Linked DNA regions of Macaca fascicularis. The protein of the gene in region 6 interacts with the protein of the main gene of each other region in a biochemical or structural test. Links are inferred from orthologs where the notes say so. Each region holds a gene or a part of one and is shown on either strand. Other genes may lie near its edges.

Region 1 (4,028 bases), on a different chromosome or scaffold from region 6:
AGTATATTAGCAAGCAGGCTGTCAATGAATATTGGCCTCCATCTTTTTTTATGGAGAAAGACAACTATTTATGCATATTATGATGACTATAGCTTAACCATGAGCTCAACAAACACAAAAATTCACAGAAAATTCTGCGATACCGTATCTATTTTAAACCACATTATTGAATGTAACTAGTGAAACCTCAGGTCAAATAGAATGTATTTAAGGAGACACAAACTTGACATTAACTCTAAATATCAGAGTATTGAAGATTTGATAGTTGTCTCTTCTTACAAATATATCCCTCATAATAAAAAAGCACTCCACTAATATGCCAATTATGATACATCTTCCAGTTGTGTTTTGTCCTTGAGCGAAAAATCTTGCTGCTCAATTCAAGTCATTCGTTTATTCATAACACCCATATATATATCTCCAACCCTGGAGAGAAACACTGACAGAAAGATGGAAAATTTTAGAGCCCTCGTTTCCACTTCAGAGAGCCTGTTGTCCCCTAAACCTCTTGGGCCCTCGGGCATTTTTAAACTTATCAAGATTCCAGAATGAGGTTAATGGGACGTCACAAAACGAACCCCCCACCGTCCCGTCCCAGGGGCTCCAAGCCAGGACCCCAGCCTGAGGGAGCCTCCGGGCAGGAGAAAGAGGCCCAGGAAGCCATTGCTCCGTTCCTTCCCGGCTGTTTACGTGGCACTCAAGGTACTCGGCCAAGGGCACGGCGACCCCGCAACACCCCCGGCGTGGGGCAAAGACAGCGGGGTTGCGGGGCTCCTGTCTGCCGGGAGCGTCGAGAGTTCCTGCCCCCCCGCCCGCCTCATGCACGGAAAGCCCCGAGCCACGGCGTGCGGCGCTGGCCGAGCGTGAACCGGAGTCGGGTTCGGCTCCCCCGAGCGGCTGTGCGGGCCGCGGAGCGCTTCCCGTGGGGCGGCCACGCAGGGTGCGGGCCATGGCCCGGGGCGCCTGTCCGGATCCCGCCGCCGCGCGGGACGCAGCCCCCGTCCTCGACCCAGGGCGCCCGGCGGCGGCGGCAGCGACTGCCCGGGGCGGCGGCGCGGCGCGGCGCAGCGCGGGGGCGGCCAGGAGGCGAGGAGGCCGGGCCGCGGCCGAGGGCCCAGGGCGCGCTTCCGCCGGGCGCCGCGCGCGCCGCGGTAAATGGGAGGCTCGGCCGGCAGGGGCGGGGGCCGCGCAGCCGGGGACTTTCAGGAACTGCAGGAGCGGGCGGCGCGGGAGTAGCCGAGCGCCCAGCGGCTGGGCCTGAGCGTCGAGACTCGGGGCCGAGGCGCAGGAGCGGCCGCCGCGCCGGGGCCCAGCCGGAGCCGCCGCCCTCGCCCTTGCCTTCGTCCGCGCGGCTCAGAATCACCATCCGCGGCGCGGGAGACAAGCCGGCCGTCCCGGGCCGGGGGACCCGCCCGCCATGGCCACCAAGGTGAGGGGCGCGCAGCGCAGGCCCGGCCGGTCGCTCAGGCCCGCGGCGGCGCGGGGACGGTCGGGGCTGGGGCCGCGGGGAGGGTTGGGGCCGGGGGTGGCCGAGGGGTCACTCTGCGTCCTCGGTGGGGTCCCCGGGCGGGTCCGCGGCCCAGCCAGTCCCTTCTGGGCATGGGTGCGGCGGACCGTGCAGACGGCCGGGATCGCGCCGGGGGAGGGCGTCGGGTCTGGGCGCGGGTTGGGACCCCGGGCGCAGCGACGTTTGGGAAGTTTGCACCTGAGCGTGGGCTGCGGCGGGCTCGCCGGGAGGGGCCGCGAGAGCGGGACGGAAACTTCCCGCAGCCCGGGGAGGCCCCCGAGGCGACAGGCTCTCTGTGGCGTCCGGTGTCCCCGCGGCGTCTGGCGTCCCCGCCGCCCCCACGTCCCCTCCCGCTGCCGCCCAGGGGACCCTCGGCCCCGTGGGGCGGGTGGGGGTCGAGACCTCAGCAGAGAGGACGCTGCGCTTCCCGTCCCGGCCTGCGGGAGCTCGCGGCCGGGGAGAGACGGAGGCTGGGACACCCCGCGCCCCTCTGCCTTCTCTGCTGTTATTTTTTTCTTTTGTTTTGCTACCTTCTCAGTGTGAATGGTATTGCCGGCATGAATAAAATATCAAGAGGGAAATGACTGTGCTTTCGATTACGTGTTTGCCTAAAAAAGGCCCAGGCCCGAATTACGTGGTGGAACTTTGACTCCTGCTTGGTAATTGGCTAGGAGCGGTGGTTTGCTTGTTTTGCATTATTGTTTATGAAATTAGCAGTCACTCTTTGCTACCTGAATCTTCAAAAGCCACCCTCCCCCACTTCTTTTCCTTGGGCGTTTTCAGTAGTTACTTGGTGTAAAATAGTCACTGGGGAGTCATGGTCGCGGAAGGAGGACCTGGGGGAGGAGGCTCTGTACCTGAACCATTAACTGTTCTGTGATACGCTGTGAGGAGTAGGTTTACTTTTGCACTTAGTTTTTGTAGTGTCACTTTATTAGCATCAGCACCCCTTTCCCTATTTTTTTTTTTTTTTTTGAGATCTCTGAGCTACTTTTGGGTTGCTAGAAACGTTATTTTTTATATTTCGATAGGTGTTTGCTTTTTTTGGTGGAGTGTTAAGGTAGGAAATGGTAAGAAATGTGAAATCTGTTTAAAAGATCAGCGTTGCTTGACTTCGGTCTGCTAGATGTTGTCCTGTGGTAAATTTTGTGCTCTGAATCCATCTAGGTGCAGCGTTTATAGAGAAGTGGGGATTCTCCTCCAGGGAACCTGTTGCTGCTGTTACTGAAATAATTACCTTCTTGTTAATATATTATTGCCTGTGCTGTGCTTTGGTTTTATTAATGTGATAGAACTTGCCACCTTTTGAACTTATTAATTTTGTGTTGACCTTTTTAAAAATAAAACTTAGGCCAAGGATTTCTAAGGAAATTTGATTTTGAGGTTTGTTGCCAGACACTCCAGAAATTACCAGTTACACATCCTAGTACACGCTCATCTTGCAACCTTAACAGCGGTTTATAGGCTGGGCGCGGCGGCTCACTCCCACCTGTAATACCAGCACTTTGGGAGGCCGCGGTGGGCGGTTCACCTGAGGTCGGAGCTCCATACAGCCTGGCCAATATGGTGAAACTCCGTCTCTACTAAAAATACAAAAATTAGCTGGGCGTGGTGGCGCGCGCCTGTAGCCCCAGCTGCTCCGGGAGGCCGAGGCAGGAGAATCGCTTGAACCCGGGAGGCGGAGGTTGCAGTGAGCCAAGATGGCGTCACCGCACTCCGGCCTGGGCTACAGAGCGAGGAGACTCCGTTTGAAAAAAAAAAAAAAACCAAGGCGGTGTATGACATAGAGATCTGTCCAGTGGTGGTCTGTGTGTTTTTACACTCCGGTCTACTGAGGCATGTTACCTGTACTGTCCTTTAAGTGGAATGCAGTTTAGCAACTAGTGCAGGTATACGTAGTGAAATTTTTATTTCATAGTTAAGCCTGAACTTAATTTTTTTTTCAAAAAATTGAAAAGTGGTTCTTGTATATTAATCTTGAATTGCATGTGTCTTTGCTTAAACACGAGCCTTAAAACATGCATAAGCACTTCCTACTTCGTTATCTACACCACTCCGAAGGCAAATTCCAGTAATTCTGTTAGTTTCTTTCGCTGTCTAATCACTGTTCCACATGGTGCTCATTTCCATGTCTACATTGTGACAGACCATTTCCATTTTAAGAAAAAGAAGAGCAATGAAGCAGTTATTAGAAGAAGACCCTTCCTTAGTTTTCTGACATCCTGGTGATACTTGGGTCAAACCAAAGTCTCATTTTTTAATTGTCCCCAGAGAGACAAGTTGCTACTTTCACTTGCCCCATATACACACCCCTTCCCCACACCTGAGTAGTTCTGTTTTTTTTCTTCGTCTTCTTCAAGGGTGGGGAGAATGTGCTTAGTAGTAATGACTAATTTTTAATAAATGGCTCCAGTGGCACTCAGGCTGTTGCTGTAAGTATTAAGTGATGAAACGTAAATTCAGGATCTGGATATTTTAGGGGATGTTCATTTCCCTTTGAATTTACCAGAAACTTGGCTAT
Region 2 (4,122 bases), on a different chromosome or scaffold from region 6:
AGCCTGGTCAACATGTTTAAACCCCCATCTCTACTAAAAATACAAAAATTAGCCGGTGTGGTGGCAGGTTCCTGTAATCCCAGCTACTCAGGAGGCTGAGGTGGGAGAATCTCTTGACCCCGGGAGGCAGAGGTTGCAATGAGGTGAGATCGTCCCACTGCACTCCAGCCTGGGCAGCAAGAGAGAGACTTCGTCTGAGGGGGAAAAAAAGTATATTCTGAAAAGAAAAAAAAAAGCAAAACATATATTTTGGTGATAAAATGATAAAGAAAAGCAGGGAAATGATAATGCCAGGGTAGTGGCCATGTTTGGGGGTTAGTGAGGGGTCTGTGATGGGTGGTGAGGGGATGTGGGGATGTCATTCTATGTCCCTTGGCCTGGGGAATGGAAACGCAGATGTTTGCTGCTTTAAAATTCAGGTTTATAATATGCTGATATATTATGTACTTTCCATAAGTGTGTTACATCTCATAATAAATCTTTCAAAGCTAAAAAAAATCAATATATGATTGATAAATACCTAACTTCATGTATCATTTGGTTACCTAGTTTCCCCAACCTTATTTATTAAATTTTCTAAACTATCCTCACTGATTTGCGATTCTAGCTTAATAATATAGCCAATTCTTACCTGGGTTTGAGAGAGCTAGTAGTGGTTATCGAAAATCTACTCTTGCTTTTTGGCGAGGATGAACGGACTTTGGGGGGCGGGGTGGGGGGATGGAAAATGTGAATGAAACGAAAAGCAGGGAGGGAGGATGAGACAGTCATGGTCATGGGCTTTATTATTAAACAGGAAAAATCTAGAGACAAACTGAAAAGAGAACGGAAGTCTGTGAGAGGGTTGCCAAGTCAGAAAGCAAAAGCAAAGTGTCGCTTTATTAAAAAGGTGGGGGCGGGTCCTGATTGAGCTGAGAACAAAACATTTGGGGGGGGTTCTAAAGCTTGGAGGCCAGGCCTGCAGGGTGGGGGTCGGTTATCCCGGGTGTCCCGCTCAAGGGTGCAGCTTCCATCGGCACTGTGCATCGCCACTGTGCAGGTAGTTAAAGACTGCTGGACGGGTTTTGTTTGCTTTGTTTGTTTTTTTGAGGCGGAGTCTTGCTCTGGCTCCCAGACTGGAGTGCAGTGGCTCGATCTCGGCTCACTGCAACCTCCTTCTCCCGGGTTCAAGCGATTCTCCTGCCTCAGTCCCCCGAGTAGCTGGGATCACAGGCGCGCACAACCAAGCTCGGCTTATTATTTTATTTATTTATTTGTTTATTTTTGAGACTGGGTTTCCCTATGTTGCCCAGGCTGGCGCCAATATTTTCAAAGATTTAACATACTGCTATTTTTACATGTACTGCTTTTTTGCTTACTCTGGATTTTATCGATGGAAAGAAAGGACAGAAAAGGGCGCGTACCGCATTTTGTGCCCCTTGCCCACCAGGCTCCATTCCCTCCGGAGCGCACACCGAGGCCGTCTGCGTTACCCGCGTCCCCGCGCCCGGAGCCGCCCAGGAGGGGGCCCGGACCCCGCGGTGCAGAGCGCGCACTGCTCGGGTGGACCGGACGCCCCGCGGCGGGCTGGGAGGGACCGGGGGGAAGGGGGGGCGCGGGGGCGGCCTGAATCCCTGGCCCGCCTCCCCGGGTCCCCGCCCCGCCCCGCCCCGGGCCAGCCTGCGCCCGCGACGACACTTTCAGCCCCGAGCCGCGGCCGCTCAGGTCGGACCCACGCGCAGCGGCCGGAGATGCAGCGGAGCGCCGCGCTGTGCCTGCGACTGGGGCTCTGCCTGGGGCTCCTAGACGGTGAGCGCGGGGCCGCCGGGGAGGGGGCCGGCCGGGGAGGGGGACCGCGCACCTGGGGCGGGCGCTGAGACCGCTCCGACGGGGACGGGCGGGGGACACGGTGGCCCCGGTGCGCGGACGCCTGAGGGAGCACGGCGCTCGGGGCCCGGGACCTCGGGATGAGGAAAGGGCGGGCGGGGACTGCAGCCGGGTCAGGGCCAGGGCGGCCGGGCCGCGCCTCGGCGCAGGGTTCGCCCTCCCGGCCCCGAATCGGCTTCTCCGTGGGTGGCTCCGGGTCCTCCAGCCGGGCCCCGTCGGGCTGCGCGCTGAGCCTGGATCCTTCGTGCCCTTCCTCGCTTCCCCGCGGGGTCTCTGCGCCGCGCCGCTGGCCCGACCCACGCGCACCGGAGATCCCGGCCATCCCGGCCCCAGACCGGGTGCGCACTTCCCGACGCCCGACGTCTCCGCTCGCGGGCGGTCCCCCAGAGGGCGCTCGAGCCGGGCTTCCACCTCCCGCGGCCGGGGCTGCAGCGCAGGGGCCGGGACTCCCGTGCGCAGGAGGCTGACAGGTGCAGGTGCAGGTGCAGGTGCAGGTGCGCGCTGGGACCTCAGAGGAATCTTGAGGAGGCGAATCGGGGGCTGTCAGCGCGGCAGAAGGGGCAGAAGGCCAGGGGTCCCCGGATTTGAGGGGACAGGGGCCTTGAAGGCCGGCTGAGGAGCAGAGGCCCCCGCGGGAGGGTCCCCTGCCCAGGAGAGGCGGGGTTCGGTTTGTGTTGGGAATATGGCTCTGGCGGGGAGGGACCCAGACCTGAGGCGGAGGCGGAGGGGTTGGAGAGAGGGATTGGGGGGGATGAGGGAGGGGCAGAGGGAGTGGATGGAGATGTCAGGATAGGGAGTGGATGGCGATGTCAGGATAGGGGAGTGGATGGCGATGTCAGGATAGGGAGTGGATGGCGATGTCAGGATAGGGAGTGGATGGCGATGTCAGGGAGGAAGCTGAGAAGATGAGCTGGGAGTCCACACGGAGCTGGTGTCTCTGGAAATCAAAGGGTGGAAGGGCGGGGTCAGGGGTTCCAGTGTCTGAAAGGGGAGTGCCGGGAGCTATGAAGCCAGCGATGGGGACCTCAACATTTCTGCACGCCATAGGAATTAAATACTGGCTTTACATGCTTGTAATTCTCACAGGGAGTGTCAGACTCATTTTACACATGGAGAAGCTTAGAGCAAGGACGTGTGTCACTTCCCCAAGATCCCCAGGAGGCCCAAAGGAGCCCGACAAAGCCTGCCTTCTGCCCACCACCTGTATGTCCACGGGCTGAAGGGCAGAGGCCAGGAGAGGGGACAGGTCTGGCTCAACCAGGGGAGGAGGGAGGAGAACATCTGTCTGGGCCCCTGAGTCGGGCAGGTCAGATCAGGGTGCTGCCCTTGGCCCTCCTGGACCCCGCCCAGGACCAGGCTCTCACAGGTGCTCAGGATGTATTTGTGAGTGGCTGTTAGAGCTTGGTTGGACTGCAGGGCTGTAGAATGGGAGACACTTAACCCAGAGGAGACATGGGATGGGCGCCTGAGTGCAGTGTCTGAGGCTGAGCTGAGGACCTGGAGAGGGAGCAGAGAGACCCAGGAGGGGACCCTGGAGGAGGGGCCCAGAAGGCAAGGGGGCTTCCAGGGAACATTCTGCAGGTCTGAGGAGAACCCGGAGAGGCCAGTGTGCTGTGCTCCCGGCTGGAGCACGGCGGGATGTGGGGTGAAGGGTGACGAGACCATTTTTTGCAGTGGGTGCAGTGACTTAGCGACCCAGTTATGAAGAGGAGAGAGGGCGTAAGTGGGGGCCCCATGGAGAGGGGTGTCCTGGGCTGGACCTGGGTTTGGCTGGTGGGGAGATGGCAATAGAGACTGAGGTCATCCCTCCCTAAGCCCTGCACCTTGCTCTATCCCCTGCTAGGCTGAAGACCCCGGGAGCCCCCAGCTTGGTGGGGGATGCCATGGCGGGAGCACAAGCCCTCAGCTGCAGTCGGGTGTCAGAGCAGCTGGGTGGGAGCAGGCCGGAAGCCTGAGCACCGTGAAGCTGACCCCTTAAACATGTGCTGTTGGTCATAGAACCGGACTTGTCCTGCCTCCCCCGTAAAGTCATTTCTGTGTGACCTGGGCCCCCTCCTTTCCCCTCCTTGCACCTCAGTTTCCCCAAGCATAACCATGGCATACGCTGGCAAGCACCGGGGTTGTGTGGGTTGTGTGTGCTTGGGCTGGACTCCAAGACTCGGTTTCCTGCTTCAGTTCCACAGTCTTGCCCTGGTGGAGAGGGTAGGTCGCAGATGTCTCTTGGGGCTTCGTCTAGAGAGAGGCCATTGGCACCTC
Region 3 (3,446 bases), on a different chromosome or scaffold from region 6:
GGGAGGCTGAGGCAGGGGAATGGCGGGAACCCGGGAGGCGGAGCTTGCAGTGAGTCGAGATGGCGCCACTGCACTCCAGCCTGGGCGACACAGAGAGATTCCATCTCAAAAATAAAAATAAAAAAGAAAGTATTTGTTGAATGAAAAAACCTGCTTCCTTCACTAGCCATCCGGCTAGCATCGTCCAACTCTCCCCCAACCCCTGCTCCAAGTTCTTATTTAGTAGGAAAACAGAATAGACTTCCCTTAAAATATGTATACTGGTAAATACATGGGCACTAAAAAACAGTTTCAGGGAAAAAAAAAAAAAAAAAAAACTTGGTTTCTGACTTTATTAGTGGTAATTTATTGCACAGGTTTTTCTGCATCAAAAAAGTATCTGCTAAAAAGAGAACAGTTGTGTCTGAATTCACATTTCCCCCCAACTTCTAAAAATATTTCCCCTAAAAAAGAATCCACTCATTTAATTTTAAAGAAAATATACTTCTTACACAAGACAATCCAAACTGATGCAAAATATTTATTCCAAGTTAGTTATTTTATGCAGTAGTTTCCCCCTCGAGACTTGTGATAACCACATCTTTTAAATCTGTAAATAATGTTATCAAAATAATCTTAATCTTTGAAATCTCACAAAAATTTATATTTTACAATCCACCCTGAATATCAAGGCTGCAAGATAACACAACATTTCCTATATCCAAATATTTTACAGCTGTACCCAAAAAGGAAAAAGAAAAAAAACAAAACAAAACAAAAAAAACAACCAAAAAAACCACGTATGCTTGGTTAAGGGCTAAAGTTACCCGAGCAGCCAAAAATAAAATAAAATATCCAAATTATTAGCATTAATTTAATACAATTATAACTTCAATAGTCACTTTGTCATTGACAATGATTGCTTGAGCACAGGGGTGAGTGCCCTAAGGGCTGGTAGTAGAAGCTGTTGTTGCAGACCGGTGTCTCCTCTTCCCTGCACTGCCAGCTCCTACCTGTGCATCACCCCATATATACTGGGGGTGTGTGTGTGTGTGTGTGTTTAAAAAATCTGTCCCACCACACAAACTTCTCTCTATTAAGCAGATAACAGGGAAGAACAACAACAAAAGCGAAACAAGCCAATCGCTCTCTCTTTGGGATACGATTATTTCTCTTGTGAATGAAGTATTCAACAACATAAGAAAAGGAAAAGAACGATTTCTTTTGTATACTCCCTAAACACACAGAGTTTACTGGGTCAAGATTTAACTGTGAGCATTTATATGCCTACTTCCAGGCATCGTCATCTGATGTTTCACTGCTACTGGTTTCGGTATCTGAGTCCTCAAACTCTGCTCTGCAAGTGCTTCTCCAAGGGGAGAACAGGCTGGAACTGCGGCTCTGCAAGAAACCATTCTTTCCAAAGCCATTTCTTCTCAGCTATGGTTAGCATGGGAGAGAAAGAAAAAAGAAAAAATTGTCCATGACTGCACTGACTCATGAGCCCTGGGAAAGGCCAGGCCTCAATTCAATTCTAGGTGGAATGTGGGATAGGGGGTGCTTCTAAGAGACCCTCTGAGATCTCTTATAGCAGTGTTTTTCAAATTTTAATGTACGAGTCATCTATGCATCTTTCAAAAATGCAGATTCAGATTCAGTATGTCTGGGATGGAGCTTGAAAGTCCTTTTTCTTTTTTTTTTTTTTTTTTGGAGACGGAGTCTCGCTCTGTCGCCCGGGCTGGAGTGCAATGGCACGATCTTGGCTCACTGCATCCTCTGCCTCCCGGGTTCAAGTGATTCTTTTGCCTCAGCCTCCCAAGTAGCTGGGATTACAGGCGTGCGCCACCAAGCCTGGTTAATTTTTGTATTTTTAGTAGAGATGAGGTTTCACCATATTGGCCAGGCTGGTCTCGAGCTCCTGACCTTGTGATCCGCCTGCCTCAGCCTCCCAATGTGCTGAGATTACAGGCGAGAGCCACTGCGCCCAGCCATAAGTCCTTATTTCTAACAGAGTTCAGAGTGGCAAGGTCTCTTACCAGCTTGTGCCATGCCCATTTTAAGAACTTGGCCAATTGTACTTTGTGCTGTAAATATATGCCACCAGAAGTTCAAGGATTTTTATAGAAACCCCATTTGTCTTGTTCACCCTAGGATCTAGCAGTGTTTTATTCAGAGAAAGAATCCAAGCAACTGCTGGATAAACTGACACAAGCTATTTAGCTTCTTAGCTCTGGCCAGAGGACCAGGAAACTACAGTGCAGAACAGGAAGCAGAGGAAGGTGAACCTGCTTCCTTAAAGACCAAGAGCTCAGACCATAACTCTGGAACACAGCCTTGTGGTTCTGATAAGGAGTTAGAGCTGTGAGGATGAAAGAGTATACTATTTTCTGGAATCTGCTAATAACTGACACTTGGTTTTTGTATCCAATACTGGGGATCCTTATTTCCCAGGCAGATTTAGGAGCCCCGCTACATTTCTACTAAGGTAATTTTCCCACCCCTCCCAGATCTTTCTCTCACATTAAACTAGGGCTCCCTCAGGGCAAGGACTGTCTGGACTCCTTATTCTCCTGGTTACTAACTGGTCTCTAGGAAGAAGGTTTACAACATACCTGCTCTGTCTTCATGTGGAACTCTTTGAGCTCATCCTCTGTGAGGGGAAGGCAATTCTCATCGTTTTCAGGATATTCTTGCCATCCCATTGCTTTCAATAACCTGGTGGATGCAGAAGGACAGGTAAAGAGAATATGACATCATCAAGCCTAAGTGAACAGCCCATCTCTTTTCACAGAAAACTTTTCTACCCAGGGACAACGGATGTTAAAGGAATTCTGTTTTCCTCCCTGTGGGACAAGCTTTAATTGTGGCTACTTGGGTGCCTGTAAATAAATGGAGGCTCTTCACAGTTGAGAGAGGAAGAGCTACAGAAGAGACAGTAGAAGCAAAACCAAGGCAGTGTAAAGAAGAAAGAGAGCACTTGCAAAATCTGGCTTTTTTTGGTGGCGGGAAGGAGCCTCACTCTGTCACCCAGGCTAGAGTGCAGGGTGCAATCTCAGCTCATTGCAACCTCCACCTCCCGGGTTCGAGCCATTCTCCTGTCCCAGCCTCCCTAGTAGCTGGGATTACAGGCACACACTACAATGCCCAGCTAATTTTTGTATTTTTAGTAGAGACAGGGTTTCGCCATGTTGGCCAGGCTGGTCTCGAACTCTTAACCTCAAGTGATCTACCCACCTTGGCCTCCCAAAGTGCTGGGATTACAGGCATGAGCCACTGTGCCCGGCCTGAAGTTAAAAATATTAAAGTATTGGAGAGTAGATTGTGGAAGAGATGGCTGGGTTTGTGACAGAATGTTTGATGGGCAACAGGCTAACCTGGGGCATACAAAGAGAACAAGTTATGATTGGGCCACTTCTCTCTGTATGTGGGACTCTATCTGAGATATCTTCTCCAGTATGTTCAAGGTC
Region 4 (4,108 bases), on a different chromosome or scaffold from region 6:
TGGCAGTTCTCCAACGGGATGAGGCCCAGGGGTGCATGATCGGTCTGGTGTTCTAGGTAGAAGAGGTTTCCTTGGAGGATGAACCATCGGTGCTGGTAGCTGAGGTTTCGGGTCCCCTTCTTTAGCAACATGCCTTCCTGGTCTGGGGCCTGTGTTCTGTAACCATGGAAGAAACTGAGCATGGACTTTCTGTGCAGTTCCATCGTGATCCAATATGGGAGGAAATCCCTAGGGAGAGAGAAGTGGCCCATCTAGTTGCCTTGGGGAAGAGTAGGGGAACTCTCACACTGTCCTCGTCTGGCTCCAGCAGGTGCCGCCTGGGCAGTCTTTGCTTAGGGGGATGCAGGCTCCGAGTGTCCTCAAGAGCTAGAGGTTCCAGTACAGGGGCTGACCCCCCGCCACCTCCCCCAGTCCCGCTTCTGCTTGGGCCACATTCTGTTACCTGGGCACGAGTTGCTAGGCCCTGTTTGCTCAGAGGAGCTTCATGCTACAGAGAGGCACTGTTGCCCTTTTCCAGGCCGTGGTGCTAGGCCCTGTTTGCTCAGAGGGGCTTCATGCTACAGAGAGGCACTGTTGCCCTTTTCCAGGCCTATCTGAGAGCAGGGCACAGGGACTTCTGGCCTGGGTACTGGTGCCAATGCCACCTCTCCAGTGATGGCTCTCCCACCTCAGAAGCCAGGAACTCGCCCAGGGTATGGGCGTGGGACAAATGACTTCCCCTGGGTCCTAAAGGGAGCTGTGTCCAGAAAGTGCCCCGAGAGCCGTCCAGGGGCCCCGGGCTGGCCATCGGGAGAGCCAGGCTTCCCCTCGGGGAGGGCAAGGCTCCACCTCTCAGATAGGAGAGCTTACCACCGGACCACAGGAGTGGGAAGGCAGGATTTCTAACGAGACGGTAGGGGCGCTGAGCCCTCAGCCCTGGTGGAAGGGTGACTCGAACCCAGCACAGGAAAACGGGGCAGCGACCCACTGGCCCTGCTCGGACTTTGCCCCTCCATCCTGACCCTGGGCGACCCTTTAAGTAGATGCTCTCGTTTTTCTCCAGAGCCTCTACTGCTTGAATGAGGGAATCGAAGGTACTTCCGGCCATTTCTCACGCCCGGTCAGAGTGTAGGCATTCACAGGTCCCCTCTTCTCGCCATTGTCCTCCCACGCGACTGACGTCACTTCTTGCGGGAGAGAGGGTGGAGGCGTCTTCCCTCGCTCACCGCGTACTTCCGCCCGCTCTTCCAGTTAGTTCCCTAACCCGAGTGAAGCCACTTCCGGGCTTCCCAGGCGCCTTCCACAGTCCTCTTCCGGGTGATGGCGGCCGGGTGCCCCGGATGTAGCCTTGGCGCAAGCATCTCTTCTTTTCGCCACCTCGCCTCCCGCGGAGTCCCAGGTGAGCGCGCGAGGGTGGGACAGCCCGGATCCCCGTGGCCCTCTAATTTGTACACAGCCCGGGACAGTTGGGGCTCACCACACGGAATTGGGAGTTCGGAGCAGGGAGGAACGGGGTGGCGAGAGCGCCAGGTCCTGGGTCTGCCCGGGCCCCGCGAGCTCCGAGAGAGCCAGAGTAGGAGGCGGGGGTCAGCCGGTCGAGCCGGTGGCGCCCAGACTGCGGGGGCTGGAGTTGGGAGCGGTCACGTGGTGAAGTCTGTTCCCTGTTGGCCAGGGTCAGGGGATCCAGAGGGTCCGCTCCTCCGTCCCCACCCCATTTAACTCGCGGATGCTAGACCCAAGTCCTGCAGGCCTCCTGGCTGCCAGCTTCTCTTCAGCCCTTGCTTTTGTGCTCCCTCCGCTCCCAAACTGTACCTGTCACAGACCAGGAAAAATATTTGCTGTGCTGGGTCCTCTGGTGGCGAGTCCCCTCCTCACCCCATTCTCTTTCTCTGTATCCTTTCCTCAGCTTGAGAAACACCTCTCTGCCCCGTCATGCCAAAGAGGAAAGTGACCTTCCAAGGCGTGGGAGATGAGGAAGATGAGGATGAAATCAGTGTCCCCAAGAAGAAGGTGAGGGGGCCAGACTCCTTTGTGTGGGGGAAAGAGAGGAGCTAGAAGCCTGAGGAGAAAGAAAGCTGGCGGGAGTGGGGCGGGGCGGGCAGGCAGAGAAAAGCCTAGTTTTTTCAGGTTCTCTGAAGAATGGGTTGGGAGCATCTTCAGTGTGGGTCCTAAAATATTTGGGGAAGTAGTCGAGATCCTGAAATATTTGGGGAATATTTGGGTCCAGATCCGGAAGTATTTGGGGAGGTAGCCAGTAACCTGCATTTCTTGACTTGACTCCTGCTCACAGCTGGTGGACCCTGTGGCTGGGTCAGGGGGTCCTGGGAGCCGCTTCAAAGGCAAACACTCTTTGGATAGCGATGAGGAGGATGATGATGATGGGGGGTCCAGCAAATACGACATCCTGGCCTCAGAGGATGTAGAAGGTGAGCTGTACCCAAGAATACACTCTGCTGGAGAAACAAGTAGGGGCCTCTGGTGGTGTGGAGTGAGGGAGGCTCCAGTCTCTCTTTTCCATGCCTAGAAAAGGGCACCTGTGTCTTTGGTACAGGTCAGGAGGCAGCCACACTCCCCAGCGAGGGGGGTGTTCGGATCACACCCTTTAACCTGCAGGAGGAGATGGAGGAAGGACACTTTGATGCTGATGGCAACTACTTCCTGAACCGGGATGCTCAGATCCGAGACAGCTGGCTGGACAACATTGACTGGGTGAGGCCCAGGGGCTGGTGTGGCTGGGGCCGGGGAGTGGCGGATGCTAGGCCTGCTCCCATGGCAGTTCGTGGGAAATCACTGCATCTTTCCATGACAGGTGAAGATCCGGGAGCGGCCACCTGGCCAGCACCAGGCCTCAGACTCGGAGGAGGAAGACAGCTTGGGCCAGACCCCAATGAGTGCCCAAGCCCTCTTGGAGGGACTTTTGGAGCTTCTGTTGCCTAGAGAGACAGTGGCTGGGGCACTGAGGCGTCTAGGGGCCCGAGGAGGAGGCAAAGGGAGCAGCAAGGGGCCTGGGCGTCCCAGTTCCCCTCAGCGCCTGGACCGGCTCTCCGGGTTGGCCGACCAGATGGTGGCCCGGGGCAACCTTGGCGTGTACCAGGAAACAAGGGAACGGTTGGCTATGCGGCTGAAGGGTTTGGGGTGTCAGACCGTGGGACCCCACAATCCCACACCCCCACCCTCCCTGGACATGTTCGCTGAGGAAGTGGCAGAGGAGGAACTGGAGACCCCAACCCCTACCCAGAGAGGAGGTAAGCTTGGAGGACAGAGGAGGGGGCAGTGGGCGGGAAGTGAGACACCGGAGGTCAAATGGCTTTGCCTGTTATTTTAGAAGCAGAGTCGCCAGGAGATGGTCTGGTGGATGTGATGTGGGAATATAAGTGGGAGAACACGGGGGATGCCGAGCTGTATGGGCCCTTCACCAGCGCCCAGATGCAGGTGAGCTGCTTTCTCCCTCCTTCTGGCTTGTCCCTGCTTCCCCTACTCCTGTCAGTCCTTCCCCAGCTCTGCCCTCTCCTTGCAGACCTGGGTGAGTGAAGGCTACTTCCCGGACGGTGTTTATTGCCGGAAGCTGGACCCCCCTGGTGGTCAGTTCTACAACTCCAAACGCATTGACTTTGAGCTCTACACCTGAGCCTGCTGGGGGCCCAGTTTGGTGGGTCATTCTTTCCTGGACTTTGTGGAGAAGGCACCAAGTGTCTCAGGCAGTGAGGAAATTGGAGGCCATTTTTCAGTCAATTTCCCTTTCCCAATAAAAGCCTTTAGTTGTGTATTGGGGCCTTGGCTGTGCTGACGGCCAGAAGCCAGGGGCCTTCTCCACAGCCACTTTGGACTTGCCTTGGTCCCTGAGTGTTTGCTCCCATGAAGATCTTCTTTGGAGGTGCCTGTCAGGTGTCCTGTGGCCTCACTGCCTGGACTCTGCTTGCTGTGTAAACACCCCCAACTGCGCTACTTTGTGTTCCTCTCTGAGGTTTCTTGTTTGATTCCCCTTAGGTCTTTGGCTTTCAGGATGTCAGATTCTTTGTCCTTGTAGCCACCAGGGGATGGAGCCCCAGAAGTGGAGCTTTTAGGCCTGGAAGGACCGGGGCATGGAGAAGACATTGGGTCTCTGTTGGGGGTGGGCATGGAAACGTTT
Region 5 (4,010 bases), on a different chromosome or scaffold from region 6:
GGGTGGGGGCCCTCTTTGGGTGGAAGGACCCTTCCCCTTGCTGCCCTCTCGCCTTCTGACATGGTCGCTCACCCTGGAATCTGGACTTCCCCTGCTGCCTGCAGCTGTCCCATGTGGCCGCTGTCCCATGTGGCCCCTGACCCACTGGTGGCCATAGGAGGAGACAGAGGTGCCCTCTCTGGGTTCTTATTCTCCACATCTGACACCACCATGGACCTAACAGGTGAGTTTCCAGTGCCCACCCTCTGCCTACCTCTCCTCCTGCTTGGCTCCACTCAAGGCAGCCTTCTCTGTGCCAGTGAGCTTGGCCTCACTGCACAGCTCTCCTGAGACTCTGCCCCAGCCCTGGGCACCCATGCTGTGAGTGCAGGCGGGTGGTTCATGTACTTAGCAAATCCATTCCCCCCGTGGGGAGGAAAGTGGCCTTGGGCCCTGTTGCTGGTGAGGTGAGCCTTGCCATCATGGAGTTCAGCGGACCTCGCGCTCTCGGCCTGTTTCTGATGTTTCTGAGCCTGAGACATCTCCAGGACAAACACAAGGTAAGTACCTCAGGCTCTTGTGGAATCGGGATCCTGTCTCTGTCACTAGCTGCTGGGTGTACTTAGGCAAGTTCTGTCCCTCTCTGAGCTCCAAGTTCCTCATCGTAAATTGGGGAAGCCCCTCTTCCCCCAACAGCACGGGGTGCCTGGCATGGAGGATGCTGGAAAGCTCCAGCCCCGGAATTTAAGTCACTTTCTGCTCAGCAAGCTGGGTCCACAGAGCCCCAGAGCTCCCAGTCGTCTGCCCTGACCCAGCGTGGACTCGGGGACTGGGGCGCTCAAGCCCTGCCTGGCCCTGCTTCCTGTGCTGTCCTGGATCGAGCCGGCCAGCAGGGTGGCTAGGTCGGGACTGCTGTCGTGCGTGGCAGGAAAAGGCCGTCGCCCTCCGGGCTCGGGTCCGGTGGCGCTGGCAGAGCAAGGCTCCGGGGCATTTCTGGCTTGTGTGGTCGTGCCAAGGGCGCCATTGCGGATGCACAGGGCCATGCGGGCCGGGTCCGCCTCCTGGGGAGAAACGGGTGAGCGCAAGGGGGATCGGCGCCATTGAGGGTGGAGAAACCGCAGGGATTTTCGGCTGTCTGCTTTGGAGCGCCAAGGAAGATGTTCGTCGACCACAGTGTGAACCTTGAGCCACCACGGCACCGACCAGTCGACTGGGCGATCCCGTCGGAGGCGGGGCCGCCGCCCGGGGTGTGCGACTATTGGGTGACGGCTGACGCTCACCGCCTTCCTTTGCACACCGCTCGCTGCACCTCTCGACGACGCGCCGCGGCGCTGCGAGGGGCTCGGTCCGGGGTGCGCCGGCGATTGGCGGGGGAACGGGACCCGGGGGTGCGGCCGCCCGCGGATTGGTGAGGCGCGGCGGGGGCGGGCTCGCGCATGCTCTTAAGTGGCAGCGACGGGGACGGGGTCAGTGCCAAGATGTCGACGGCGGCGGTTCCAGAGCTGAAGCAGATCAGCCGGGTGGAGGCGATGCGCCTGGGGCCGGGCTGGAGCCACTCGTGCCACGCCATGCTGTACGCCGCCAACCCTGGGCAGCTCTTCGGCCGCATCCCCATGCGCTTCTCGGTGCTGGTGAGGACGGGAGCGGGAGCGGGCGCGGGCGGGCCGGGGCGGGGGCGTCCGACGATCCCCCGGCTTTGACCCGCGCTCCCTTGCAGATGCAGATGCGTTTCGATGGGCTGCTGGGCTTCCCCGGGGGCTTCGTGGACCGGCGCTTCTGGTCGCTGGAGGACGGCCTGAACCGGGTGCTGGGCCTGGGCCTGGGCTGCCTGCGCCTCACCGAGGCCGACTACCTGAGCTCGCACCTGACCGAGGGGCCCCACCGCGTCGTGGCGCACCTGTACGCACGGCAGCTGACGCTGGAGCAGCTGCACGCCGTGGAGATCAGCGCGGTGCACTCGCGCGACCACGGCCTGGAGGTGGGGCCGCCGCCCGGGCCCCGCCCCCCGCCCCGGGGTTTGGCTCTGGCCCCGTGGAAGGCACCGATGGGTAACACGTCTCCTGAGGGTCCCCTGGCCGGGCTGGGTCGGGTGTCGCTGTCTCCAGCAATGGGGTGGGGAGAGGGGTCTGGGGCTGGGGGGCCGGGAGAGGAGGGGCGGTGGTGGGGGCCGGGGCTGGGGCTCCCTCAGGGCTGTGTTACATCTGCCTTGCTGCTGCCATTGCCAATCCTGGGAGTGGGGAGTGGGATCGGTGGGGAGGAAGGGATGGGGGAGGAGCGGGGCTTGCTTGGGGAGTTGGGAAACTTGAGCACAGCGGGGGTCGTAAAACTTGGAAACCTCATGGGGGGCGTGAAGGCTCTTGGTATTTGTGTTTTGTGGTCTGGAAGGGTTGGACTCCAGGTGTTCAGGCTTCGTTGGGTGGACGGGAAGCATGGGGTGTGGACCCCGGGTGGTGGTCTAGGTACGAGGGGGAAGTGCATGGGGTCAGCCTCCACACTTGCTTGGGGAGGAGGGGGCTGCACTGCTCCAAGGGAGCTGGTTGGCTTCTGCCAGGTCCTGCCTGGGTCTCCCATTAAGTCCTTGGCAAAGCTGGCTGCTCATACCCTGGCCTCCTAGCTTCCAGGCCCCTCCTGCCGGGGGTGCCATTGCGTGGCAGGCCTGGCCCCAACCCCTACCTCCTGTCTGCACAGGTGCTGGGCCTCGTGCGGGTCCCGCTGTACACCCAGAAGGACCGAGTCGGAGGCTTCCCCAACTTCCTGAGCAACGCCTTTGTGAGCACGGCTAAGTGCCAGCTCCTCTTTGCCCTCAAGGTGCTCAACATGATGCCTGAGGAGAAGCTGGCTGAGGCCCTGGCTGCGGCCACCGAGAAGCAGAAGAAGGCCCTGGAGAAGTTGCTCCCAGCCTCGTCCTGAGGGCTGCCTGGGCTGCTGGCACCCTCCCCTGGGCCGGAAGACTGGGAATTCCTGCCAAGTGTGGCTTCTAGAGTGTGTGTGTGTACCCCACTTCTGACTGCCTAGGGCAAAGGGGCATCCTGTCATCTCCACTGTCCCAAGCAGTCACTAGGTGGTGGCCAGGCCAGCTGGGACCCAGCCCATCCTCTCAGGCAGAGCAGGGTGGTCTGGGCACGCTGGGCCTGCCTCTCCAGCCTCCCAGGCTCAGACCCTCCTGTGTGTGTGTCTCATCCCGGCTGGTGGAGGCCCACAGGGACTGCGCACAGCTCCAGGGCCACTCGGAAGACGGGATGTGTGGGTGGAGGATGCCTCGTCTAGGTCAGCATTCCTGCCTCCTTCCTGAGCCAGCTCAGAGCCTGGGGGAGAGCCAACTTGGGGTAGGAAGTTAATACTGTTAATTTGGGTGGTTGTTGGATTTACTTTGCTAGATTTTCTCTTTCACCATGTGTGAACTGTGGGTGAGGTTTCAAAGTAGCTTCACCCCACGTGGCTTGGTTCCCAGGGACAGTCAGGGCCTCGGGGGCTCAGCTATGTACGACGAAGCTGTCGAAGGAGAAGACAATAAAGTCACTCCTCAGCTGCTCTGTGTTTCTCAGCTACTCTGTGTGTTTCGGTTCTGGATGGAGCCAGCTCAGGCCTCCTGCCCTAGGGGGAGGGAGGAGCCGCCCCAGCCAGAGGCATGTTTGTCCCCAGTGCTGACTGGGGGCACTCCCAGCATAAGCGCTGTGCCCATCAGCCAGGTTGGGGTATCTGGGCTGAGACCTTCAGGGAAGGCTCCCCTTCCTGATCCTGATGGCCCTGGCTGCACCTGAGCTGACCTGCTTTGCAAACCCGCCCTACACCACCATCATCTGCAAGCAGCTCCAGGGGCTGGTGTAGCAGTGCAGGCTTACTATGCAGAAGGACAGCAGCAGAGCCATCCCTCGTGGTCTCCTACAGCCTCACATCTGGAAAGACTCCAGTGGCATCGTCAGAAAATGTTCACAGCCCATGCCTGGCCTGGTGAGGGAGGTGGTGGTCCCAGCGCCATCATCTCAGCGCTCGGTGTGAGGGCAACATGTCGGGGGAGGCCCTGTCCTATG
Region 6 (3,500 bases):
GCTCCTTTTCACAATCAGCTCCTCTGTGAACTGACATAGGGTGAATGCATTCATTACTGCAGGAGGGCACCAAGCCATTCATGAGGGATCTACCTCCATGACCCAACCTACCATCAGGCCTCACCTCCAACACTGGGGATCACATTTCAACATAAGATTTGGAGGAGAAAAACATCCAAACCATCTCAAGGCTGCAGATTGGTGGCTGAGCAAGGGCTGTGGCATCCGGGGTCAGCACAGCTGGGAGCTCTGTCCTGTCCCTTGTTCAGTGAACAGAGACGATACTCAGCCGTGGGGTTCTCTGTTGCAGGCCAAGGCCCCAAATGCCGTGGTGCTGGTGGTCGGGACACACCTGGATTTAATTGAAGCCAAGTTCCGTGTGGAAAGGATTGCAACGCTGCGTGCCTATGTGCTGGCGCTCTGCCGCTCCCCCTCCGGCTCCAGGGCCACAGGCTTCCCAGACATCACCTTCAAACACTTACAGTGAGTGCCCAGCCTCTAGCAGCTCCCGCCTTCATGTGGGTGCCAGTCGCTGATCCTTCCTGGGATCTGCTTACAGAGAGCTCCTGAGGCTGGGTGGGGCTAGGCCCCTTCCCTGGCCAAGGGGGGGCAGTCCACAGAGCTGACCCAGCCTTGGAGAGGGTGAAGACCTACCAGACAGCTGGCTGGGTGAGGCCTGGAGATGCCCCCTCTTTGCTTCCTTTCTGCCCTGTCCCCGCCCCAAGGGCCAGTGCTGAAACTGCATGGTGCCCATTGAACCAGGTGACTGAACATGGGCACCACCCATCCAATTGCTGCCCATCTCATTTTTTGATCACTGATCAAGGACAGACCCTGGGGAGGGAGGACCTAGCCCTTGCCTTTGGTCTGAGTGGTCCTGATAGCAGCCTTTGAGTTAAAAAAGGCCAAGAGTTGGGAGGGGCTTTCGGGTGGGCATCACGACGTGTCCATGCAGATAAGTTCAATTGCCCTGGGCTGACCTCCTGTCACTGGTTGTGGGGATTGTTTGCCACCTTGTAGATGAAGAAGCTGAGGTTCAGCAAATTGTGTGCCCTAATGGGAGTAAAATATACTGCACATTGCATTAGCTGCCCTGGCAGCTCTCAGATTCCCTCGCCCGGGGTGGAGCGTCATGGGTATTGGTGCGTGGGTCAGCCTGGGACACATTGGCCTGGCTCGGAATACGGGATGAGGCTGTCAGGAATTATTGCTTTGACCTTGAGAAAGTCCCATAGGGTCTGTGATAAGAGGAGCCCTGGCTCTGGGTCAGAACCTGAGACCAGCCTGCGTGAGCCTGTGCCTGCCCAGCTTGTGCCCTTGGGGGTCTCAATGTACCTCTGCACCTCACTTTCCTTCTCTGTGAAGTGCCATGTTTGGTCTAGGAAGACAGACTAAAGCGACAGTGTGGGGCACCCAGCACAGTGATTTGCACAAAGCAAGGCCTCAGTAAACTTCTTGTGTTGTCTTTCATGAGTTCTCCAGACTTGCCAGCATTCAGGACAAACCTCTTGGGAAAACAGAGAAGCTGCAGCACTTCCTCGGAGTGGGGCACGATGAGTAAAGACGGGTCTTTTTGCACACAGTGAGATTTCCTGCAAGAGCCTGGAAGGCCAGGAAGGGCTGCGGCAGCTGATCTTCCACGTCACGTGCAGCATGAAGGACGTGGGCAGCACCATCGGCTGCCAGCGACTGGCAGGGAGGCTGGTGGGTACCTCGCTCGTCCAGCTTAAACCAGTAGGCCTGCTTCCCATTGTTGGGGATCCTCACTTCCCCTCTCTCCTGTGAAGCCCATGTCCATGTGGCAAGGCTCAGTCGTTCTTGGTGAGGGAGGGTCAGGATGGAAGATAGTGGGTGGAAATGTCCCACCCACTCAGGCCACAGGGGCCAGGCAGGATCTGCCCCAGCTGGCGGGCATGCCTCGGGAATTGCCTCGTCCGTCTGTCCCCCAGATCCCCAGGAGCTACCTGAGTCTGCAGGAGGCCGTGCTGGCAGAGCAGCAGCGCCGCAGCCTGGACGACGACGTGCAGTACCTGACGGACAGGCAGCTGGAGCAGCTGGTGGAGCAGACGCCCGACAATGACATCAAAGACTACGAGGACCTGCAGTCGGGTGGGTGGGGCTGGGGTGGGCGGCAGGGTGCCCGTGAGAAATGGAACTGTCTGTACTTCAGCCTGGCCCTCAGCAATGAATGAGAGACCGATAATCAGCCTGTGTTTCTGTCTTCCATCCCCCTCCCCTTCCTTCTTCCCTCTCACCCTTCTTTCCTTGGAGGTAGAGAACACAAACAGCTACTCTACACCAGCATTGTGTTGGCCACAAGGGCAGACATATAAACTGATGGACTGGTCCATGCCCTCCAGGGCTGACGTTCAGTCAGGGAGACAGAGGTCAAACAGTTACAATCGATTCTCATTAGCCACAGGACTTATGTTCTGTAAAGTCACCATGATCACTGAAATAGCAAATACTAAACCAGTGCTCCTAGGAGAGACGCAGGGTTCAGCTCCTGCAAGCCTCTGGTCAGAACATTCTCATCAGCCCATCAATACAGAACCTTGTTTTATGTGTGTTGCTGCTTAAAGACACTGTACTTAATATATAGTGTTGATTTGTTGGCATTGAACTCATGGTTAACAGTACTGTTGCTCATTCCTGAACAAAACTTATCTAACACACAGGTTTTCTCCATAAGGCACATCGCAGCCTTCTCACGCTTAGGGAACTACACAGCGCTTCAGCACTTCACTTGGGACCATTTTAAACAGTGAAAGCATCAACAAAAAGCACAAAAATTCAAAAAACATGGCACTGACATAGACCACTAAGCAGGCCCCTGTTTTCAGCACGAGAGTTGAGAGTGTTGCCCTGTTCAGCCTCCGCTGGGAATGTGCACATTGGTCAATGCAAACTTTTCACCACTCAGCACATGTCTGCAAATAACCACAGGAGCATTGATTTGGGGGTCGCAGATAAATTTTAGTAAGAAGGCAAATTTGCAAAGGCGGAATCCACAAATAATGAGGATCAACTGTAGTTACCGAGGTGGCCATTAGCCTAGGACTTTGGCAAGAGTTACCAGGGGCCACCAGGGCACCTGTGATCAGGCTGCCAACCCACCTGAAGGGTCCAGCATGTGGGGCATGTTGGTTTCTTCCTAGGAAGAATTTGTGACCTGGGTCCCCTTGGAAAGTAAGGCCACCCCAGAGTCCCTTTCGCTCCTTTGTCTAACTGCTGCTTCCTCCTCTCCTTGCCTGGGGCAGCCATCAGCTTCCTCATAGAAACTGGCACCCTGCTACACTTCCCAGACACCAGCCACGGCCTGAGGAACCTCTACTTCCTCGACCCTATTTGGCTGTCCGAATGTCTGCAGAGGATCTTTAACATTAAGGGCTCCCGGTCAGTGGCCAAGAATGGGGTGATCAGAGCAGAAGACCTCAGGATGCTACTGGTGGGGACTGGCTTCACACAGCAGACGGAAGAGCAGTACTTCCAGTTCCTGG
Region 7 (4,037 bases), on a different chromosome or scaffold from region 6:
TGAGCCTCCCACATCAGCCTCCTGAGCAGCTGGGACTACAGGCATAAGCCACTGCACCTGGCTTATTTTTTGTTTTTGTGGAGATGGGGGTCTTACTGTATTGTTCCGGCTGGTCTCAAACTCCGGGACTCAAGAAGTCCTCCAGTTTTGGCCTTCCGAAGTGCTGGGGTTACAGGCATGAGCCATGGTGGCAAGCCCTCATCAGTTATTTTTCTATGATTCTGTCTCGCTGTCCCCTCCTTACAAGGAAAGTAATTTTGAAACAACCAATCCAGTCTTGGTTCTTTGTTTCTGCTTTCTTCAGCCCTTCTCTGTCTATAAAATCAACCTCTTCTGCTCAGCTCATGGGAGCACTTATTCTAATTTAATGGAGGTGTTGCCCAATTCTAGAATCACAAATAAAATTAAGATCTTTAACAACAAAAGTTAAAAAATGAGAATCAGCAACAACAACAACAGAAAAGATCTTTAAATGTGTTGTAATTTTCTCCTTTGACAGGTTACAAGTGCAATTGAATAAACCAAACAAAAAATGTCATGGTTAGGTTCGGTCTTTACTTCCCAAATGAGGGTCAAGATGTAAGACTGCAAGAACCAACTTCTACCATAAAAAAGATCCGAATCCAAGAAAATGTGATTTTTCTTTAAAGCTGTTCACCGCAACGAAAGTTTCTTTTTAGTCTAGGAGACTAAAAGCCATCAGCTGACACAATCTCTTTTTTTCTTGAAGTTTCCAAAGGAAGGCAGGTGAGTTTGCACTAACTTCCATTTTCTCCCTGGCTTCCTTCTGGTGTCAGATGAGCGTCCCCGCGCTCCTCCCGGACAGCCCTCATGGTCCCCGGCTATCATATATGGGGGGGTTGGGGGATGGGGGTGGGGTGGGGGTGGGCGAGATGGCTTTGTACAGGAAAGAGGGGCGGCAGGCACGGGGAGCACGGGCTCCAGCCCCAGGAACACTCAGTCGGCGCAAAGGAGAGGGAGAGAGCGAGTGCGAAAGCCGAAACCCTCCCGGGGCCACGGAGTAAGCCCCCAGTACCGCTCCTCCGGCGCCCCACCCGCAGGCGGACCCCGAAGACGCGCCCGCGCCCGCCCCCGGCGACTCCGGCCCGGGCACGCGCACGAGACGGCGGGGGGAGGGGCGGGAGAAGGTGGGGGAGGGGCGAGCGGGGAGAGGCCCCGCCCCGGCCCCTCAGCCCCGCCCGCCGCGATTATAGCCGATGACTCAGGGCGGAGCTCCGCGTCCAACCCCGGGCCGCGGCCAACTTCTCTGGACTGGACCAGAAGTTTCTAGCCGGCCAGTTGCTACCTCCCTTTATCGCCTCCTTCCCCTCTGGCACCGAGGAGGCTATTTCCAGACACTTCCACCCCTCTCTGGCCACGTCACCCCCGCCTTTAATTCATAAAGGTGCCCGGCGCCGGCTTCCCGGACACGTCGGCGGCAGAGAGGGGCCCACGGCGGCGGCCCGGCCAGAGACTCGGCGCCCGGAGCCCGCGCCCCACACCCGCGCCCCGGCGGGCAGACCCCGACCCAGCATGAGCGCCGCCACCCACTCGCCCATGATGCAGGTGGCGTCCGGCAACGGTGACCGCGACCCCCTGCCCCCCGGCTGGGAGATCAAGATCGACCCGCAGACCGGCTGGCCCTTTTTCGTGGACCACAACAGCCGTACCACGACGTGGAACGACCCGCGCGTGCCCTCTGAGGGCCCCAAGGTGAGCTGGGCCCGCGGCCCGCCCTGGTCGGCGGCGCCACCTCGACGGCAGGCGGCGGGGAGTGGGTTGGGCCGGGGGGACGCCAGGCGGCGGGGCCCGGTGGCCGGCGAAGGCCCCTTGCGGGCGGACACCGGCTCCGCGCCCCGCCACACACTCCCGGTGCTCCCGGACGAGTCCCCGCTCCGGACCCGCCCTTTACAGGAGTCGGGGCGAGAGGAGGCCCCGCGATCCGGTGGTCCGGGAAGCGACCCCGCAGTGGGTCCGGTGCCGTCCACGGCTCGACTCGGGGCGGAGGGCCGCGTGTCCGACGCTGGCCTCACGCTCCCGGGCTCGGAGGGGGCGGCCGGCCTGGTCAGCTCCGGAGGCTCCGGCCCGCCGCGGCCACTGCTGCCGGCTCGGCCTCCGGTCCCGGGACCCGCGGCGCACCCCGCTGACCGCGGACTCGAGGGGGACCCTCGCAAGCTTGGATGGTGGTTTTTGGGAGGAATTTTACCGCTCAAGTTCTCCAACTTGGTTGAGGGGTATCTTGTTTGCTGTCCCATCTTAGGCACCCAATGACTCAGGAGGCTGGTGTCAAAACATTCATATATATGTGCGCGCGCGTGTGTGTGTATTTTAAATTAAAATTGTATTATTGTTTGAAAGTGCTTTCAATACGAATGTATCCTAGTATGACTTGTAAAATATAAAAGAGGGTGCACTTCTCCCCAGCAGTTTCTAAACTAGAGATCTGAGACTTACAGTTGGCCATTGCCTTACCACATTGCCTCACACTGGAAAGAGAATGATACGTGTATATTTATAATGGCATTCGCTTCCTGCCTTGTTATGGTATTAAAATACTTAGAATTTGTTACCAGTACACAAATAACTGAGTAATGATACTCTTGGGAATACAGCAGAAGTATGTCTCATTTACATATATGCAACGATATTCCTAATCCCCAAGAGCATGAAATTTGAAAACGTAAATTTGGAATGAGTCTGTTAATTTTCAAAAATCATAGTTATACTATTCGTTCAATTTTATATAAATTTGAGCTTTCAAAATAAAAAGTTTTTTTAAAAAAAATGTTATACTTAAAGCGTAATTGTTACTGCCGTCTGGGCAAGATAAAAGCAGCAAAGAGCTGGTAAATTATTTTGAAGATTTTAAAACTCACCAAATTAAAAATACTTTGTAACCCATTATTTTAGAAGAAAGACCTGTATTATTTCCCTTCATTTTAATGCACTTTTTGTTTTAACAATATTGATAAAACTCCGGTGCCCAACAGTGAGACACTGTACAGGCAGCAGTTTACATTTACGAGAGATTACTTGTGTATTTATTCTTGAAAATTAATACAAGAGGCTGTAATTAGCTGGGGTGGGCACAGTTGCATATACCTTTTTGTGTGTGTGTTCAGCCCATTTTTGGGTGAAACTGACACTCATTTCAAACCACCTTTCTTAGGCGTCTGCGTGGATGTACCTGATCTTTAGTGTGGTTTGCAACTATTATTTTGAGGCCTTCTTCCTGTGGACATAGGGACAGTGGTATCTGCTGGCAGCCTTTGTTGTGAGTGAAGATCAAGTTTGAACATAGACATTCCCAGCACTTTGTTCTCAGCATGAAACTTACCCAGCAAGTTGAGATATTCCTGTACCCACCTGGTGCATGGGTTAGGCTGTGGTTTCATAAACCTTATTAAAAGAAAAAAAGCAGGTTTAGCTGCCATTATTCTTCTCAATAAATAAAAAGTAAGAACTATTACATCAGAAGTCTGATGCTGGAAAGGTTTCTTTGAAAATTTCATAGTCAAAATTTTTAAGTTGAAAGGTCCTTGAAGATCTCTTAGTTAGAAGATCTCTTATTTTCTGAAAAACCCAGAGAATTCAGGTGTGACTTTGAAGGTCATCCAGCTAGTACCAATTACAGGGAGAGAACTAATGTCAGGAAAGTTCTAGTAAGAGGTGGTGTGTCTGTTAGAAGTTGGAAGTGAATGTTTTGTGAAACTGAAGCATGCAGGCTAGAATACCTGATTATCTTTGTGCCCTCCTGGCCACCAAGTTATTGGGTCACTGACCTCTGTGCTGTGGTTGCTTGGATTTTGATGATGGGACGTCATCAACTCAAGAAAAGAGTTCTCTTTACGAAGTGAATGACTTGAGACTTGTCAGCATGGCACCAAAACTTAAGGAGAAAACTAACATTCAGCCCATTAGCTGTTTGTGCTTCATTGCTTTCAACCCTGTTCTTAGACGCACACAATATCTGGTTGCACTTGTGTGAATTACACCTTGCTGGAGACTAAATGTAGTGGAGAATCCTAGAATATCAT

Evidence for each region.
Region 1: the proteins of LRRK1 (region 6) and SNX9 form a complex in vitro, tested with the Homo sapiens proteins (2 studies listed by BioGRID and IntAct, with this or other methods). The link is inferred for Macaca fascicularis from reciprocal best matches to the Homo sapiens genes LRRK1 and SNX9.
Region 2: the proteins of LRRK1 (region 6) and FLT4 form a complex in vitro, tested with the Homo sapiens proteins (2 studies listed by BioGRID and IntAct, with this or other methods). The link is inferred for Macaca fascicularis from reciprocal best matches to the Homo sapiens genes LRRK1 and FLT4.
Region 3: the proteins of LRRK1 (region 6) and GPBP1L1 form a complex in vitro, tested with the Homo sapiens proteins (2 studies listed by BioGRID and IntAct, with this or other methods). The link is inferred for Macaca fascicularis from reciprocal best matches to the Homo sapiens genes LRRK1 and GPBP1L1.
Region 4: the proteins of LRRK1 (region 6) and CD2BP2 form a complex in vitro, tested with the Homo sapiens proteins (2 studies listed by BioGRID and IntAct, with this or other methods). The link is inferred for Macaca fascicularis from reciprocal best matches to the Homo sapiens genes LRRK1 and CD2BP2.
Region 5: the proteins of LRRK1 (region 6) and NUDT16L1 form a complex in vitro, tested with the Homo sapiens proteins (2 studies listed by BioGRID and IntAct, with this or other methods). The link is inferred for Macaca fascicularis from reciprocal best matches to the Homo sapiens genes LRRK1 and NUDT16L1.
Region 7: the proteins of LRRK1 (region 6) and BAG3 form a complex in vitro, tested with the Homo sapiens proteins (2 studies listed by BioGRID and IntAct, with this or other methods). The link is inferred for Macaca fascicularis from reciprocal best matches to the Homo sapiens genes LRRK1 and BAG3.

Annotation. Positions count from the first base shown.
Region 1 is NC_088378.1:66,161,195-66,165,222, forward strand, and holds the start of SNX9 (sorting nexin-9), read left to right. Parts: upstream 1-1,228; 5' UTR 1,229-1,417; coding exon 1,418-1,429; intron 1,430-4,028. UniProt on the Homo sapiens protein: Involved in endocytosis and intracellular vesicle trafficking, both during interphase and at the end of mitosis. Required for efficient progress through mitosis and cytokinesis. Required for normal formation of the cleavage furrow at the end of mitosis.
Region 2 is NC_088380.1:187,556,034-187,560,155, reverse strand, and holds the start of FLT4 (vascular endothelial growth factor receptor 3), read left to right. Parts: upstream 1-1,322; 5' UTR 1,323-1,337; coding exon 1,338-1,788; intron 1,789-4,122. UniProt on the Homo sapiens protein: Tyrosine-protein kinase that acts as a cell-surface receptor for VEGFC and VEGFD, and plays an essential role in adult lymphangiogenesis and in the development of the vascular network and the cardiovascular system during embryonic development.
Region 3 is NC_088375.1:189,087,566-189,091,011, reverse strand, and holds the end of GPBP1L1 (vasculin-like protein 1), read right to left. Parts: intron 2,695-3,446; coding exon 2,592-2,694; intron 1,420-2,591; coding exon 1,267-1,419; 3' UTR 501-1,266; downstream 1-500. UniProt on the Homo sapiens protein: Possible transcription factor.
Region 4 is NC_088394.1:28,493,692-28,497,799, reverse strand, and holds the start of CD2BP2 (CD2 antigen cytoplasmic tail-binding protein 2), read left to right. Parts: upstream 1-1,308; 5' UTR 1,309-1,378; intron 1,379-1,885; 5' UTR 1,886-1,911; coding exon 1,912-1,989; intron 1,990-2,269; coding exon 2,270-2,405; intron 2,406-2,530; coding exon 2,531-2,688; intron 2,689-2,788; coding exon 2,789-3,224; intron 3,225-3,304; coding exon 3,305-3,411; intron 3,412-3,477; coding exon of another isoform or gene 3,478-3,496; coding exon 3,497-3,607; 3' UTR 3,608-4,108. UniProt on the Homo sapiens protein: Involved in pre-mRNA splicing as component of the U5 snRNP complex that is involved in spliceosome assembly.
Region 5 is NC_088394.1:5,507,096-5,511,105, forward strand, and holds NUDT16L1 (tudor-interacting repair regulator protein), read left to right. Parts: upstream 1-1,448; 5' UTR 1,449-1,457; coding exon 1,458-1,610; intron 1,611-1,696; coding exon 1,697-1,957; coding exon of another isoform or gene 1,958-2,027; intron 2,028-2,667; coding exon 2,668-2,889; 3' UTR 2,890-3,510; downstream 3,511-4,010. UniProt on the Homo sapiens protein: Key regulator of TP53BP1 required to stabilize TP53BP1 and regulate its recruitment to chromatin.
Region 6 is NC_088381.1:86,092,220-86,095,719, forward strand, and holds part of LRRK1 (leucine-rich repeat serine/threonine-protein kinase 1), read left to right. Parts: intron 1-310; coding exon 311-483; intron 484-1,583; coding exon 1,584-1,704; intron 1,705-1,949; coding exon 1,950-2,109; intron 2,110-3,260; coding exon 3,261-3,500.
Region 7 is NC_088383.1:128,663,472-128,667,508, forward strand, and holds the start of BAG3 (BAG family molecular chaperone regulator 3), read left to right. Parts: upstream 1-1,237; 5' UTR 1,238-1,533; coding exon 1,534-1,713; intron 1,714-2,232; exon of another isoform or gene 2,233-4,037. UniProt on the Homo sapiens protein: Co-chaperone and adapter protein that connects different classes of molecular chaperones including heat shock proteins 70 (HSP70s), e.g. HSPA1A/HSP70 or HSPA8/HSC70, and small heat shock proteins (sHSPs), e.g. HSPB8.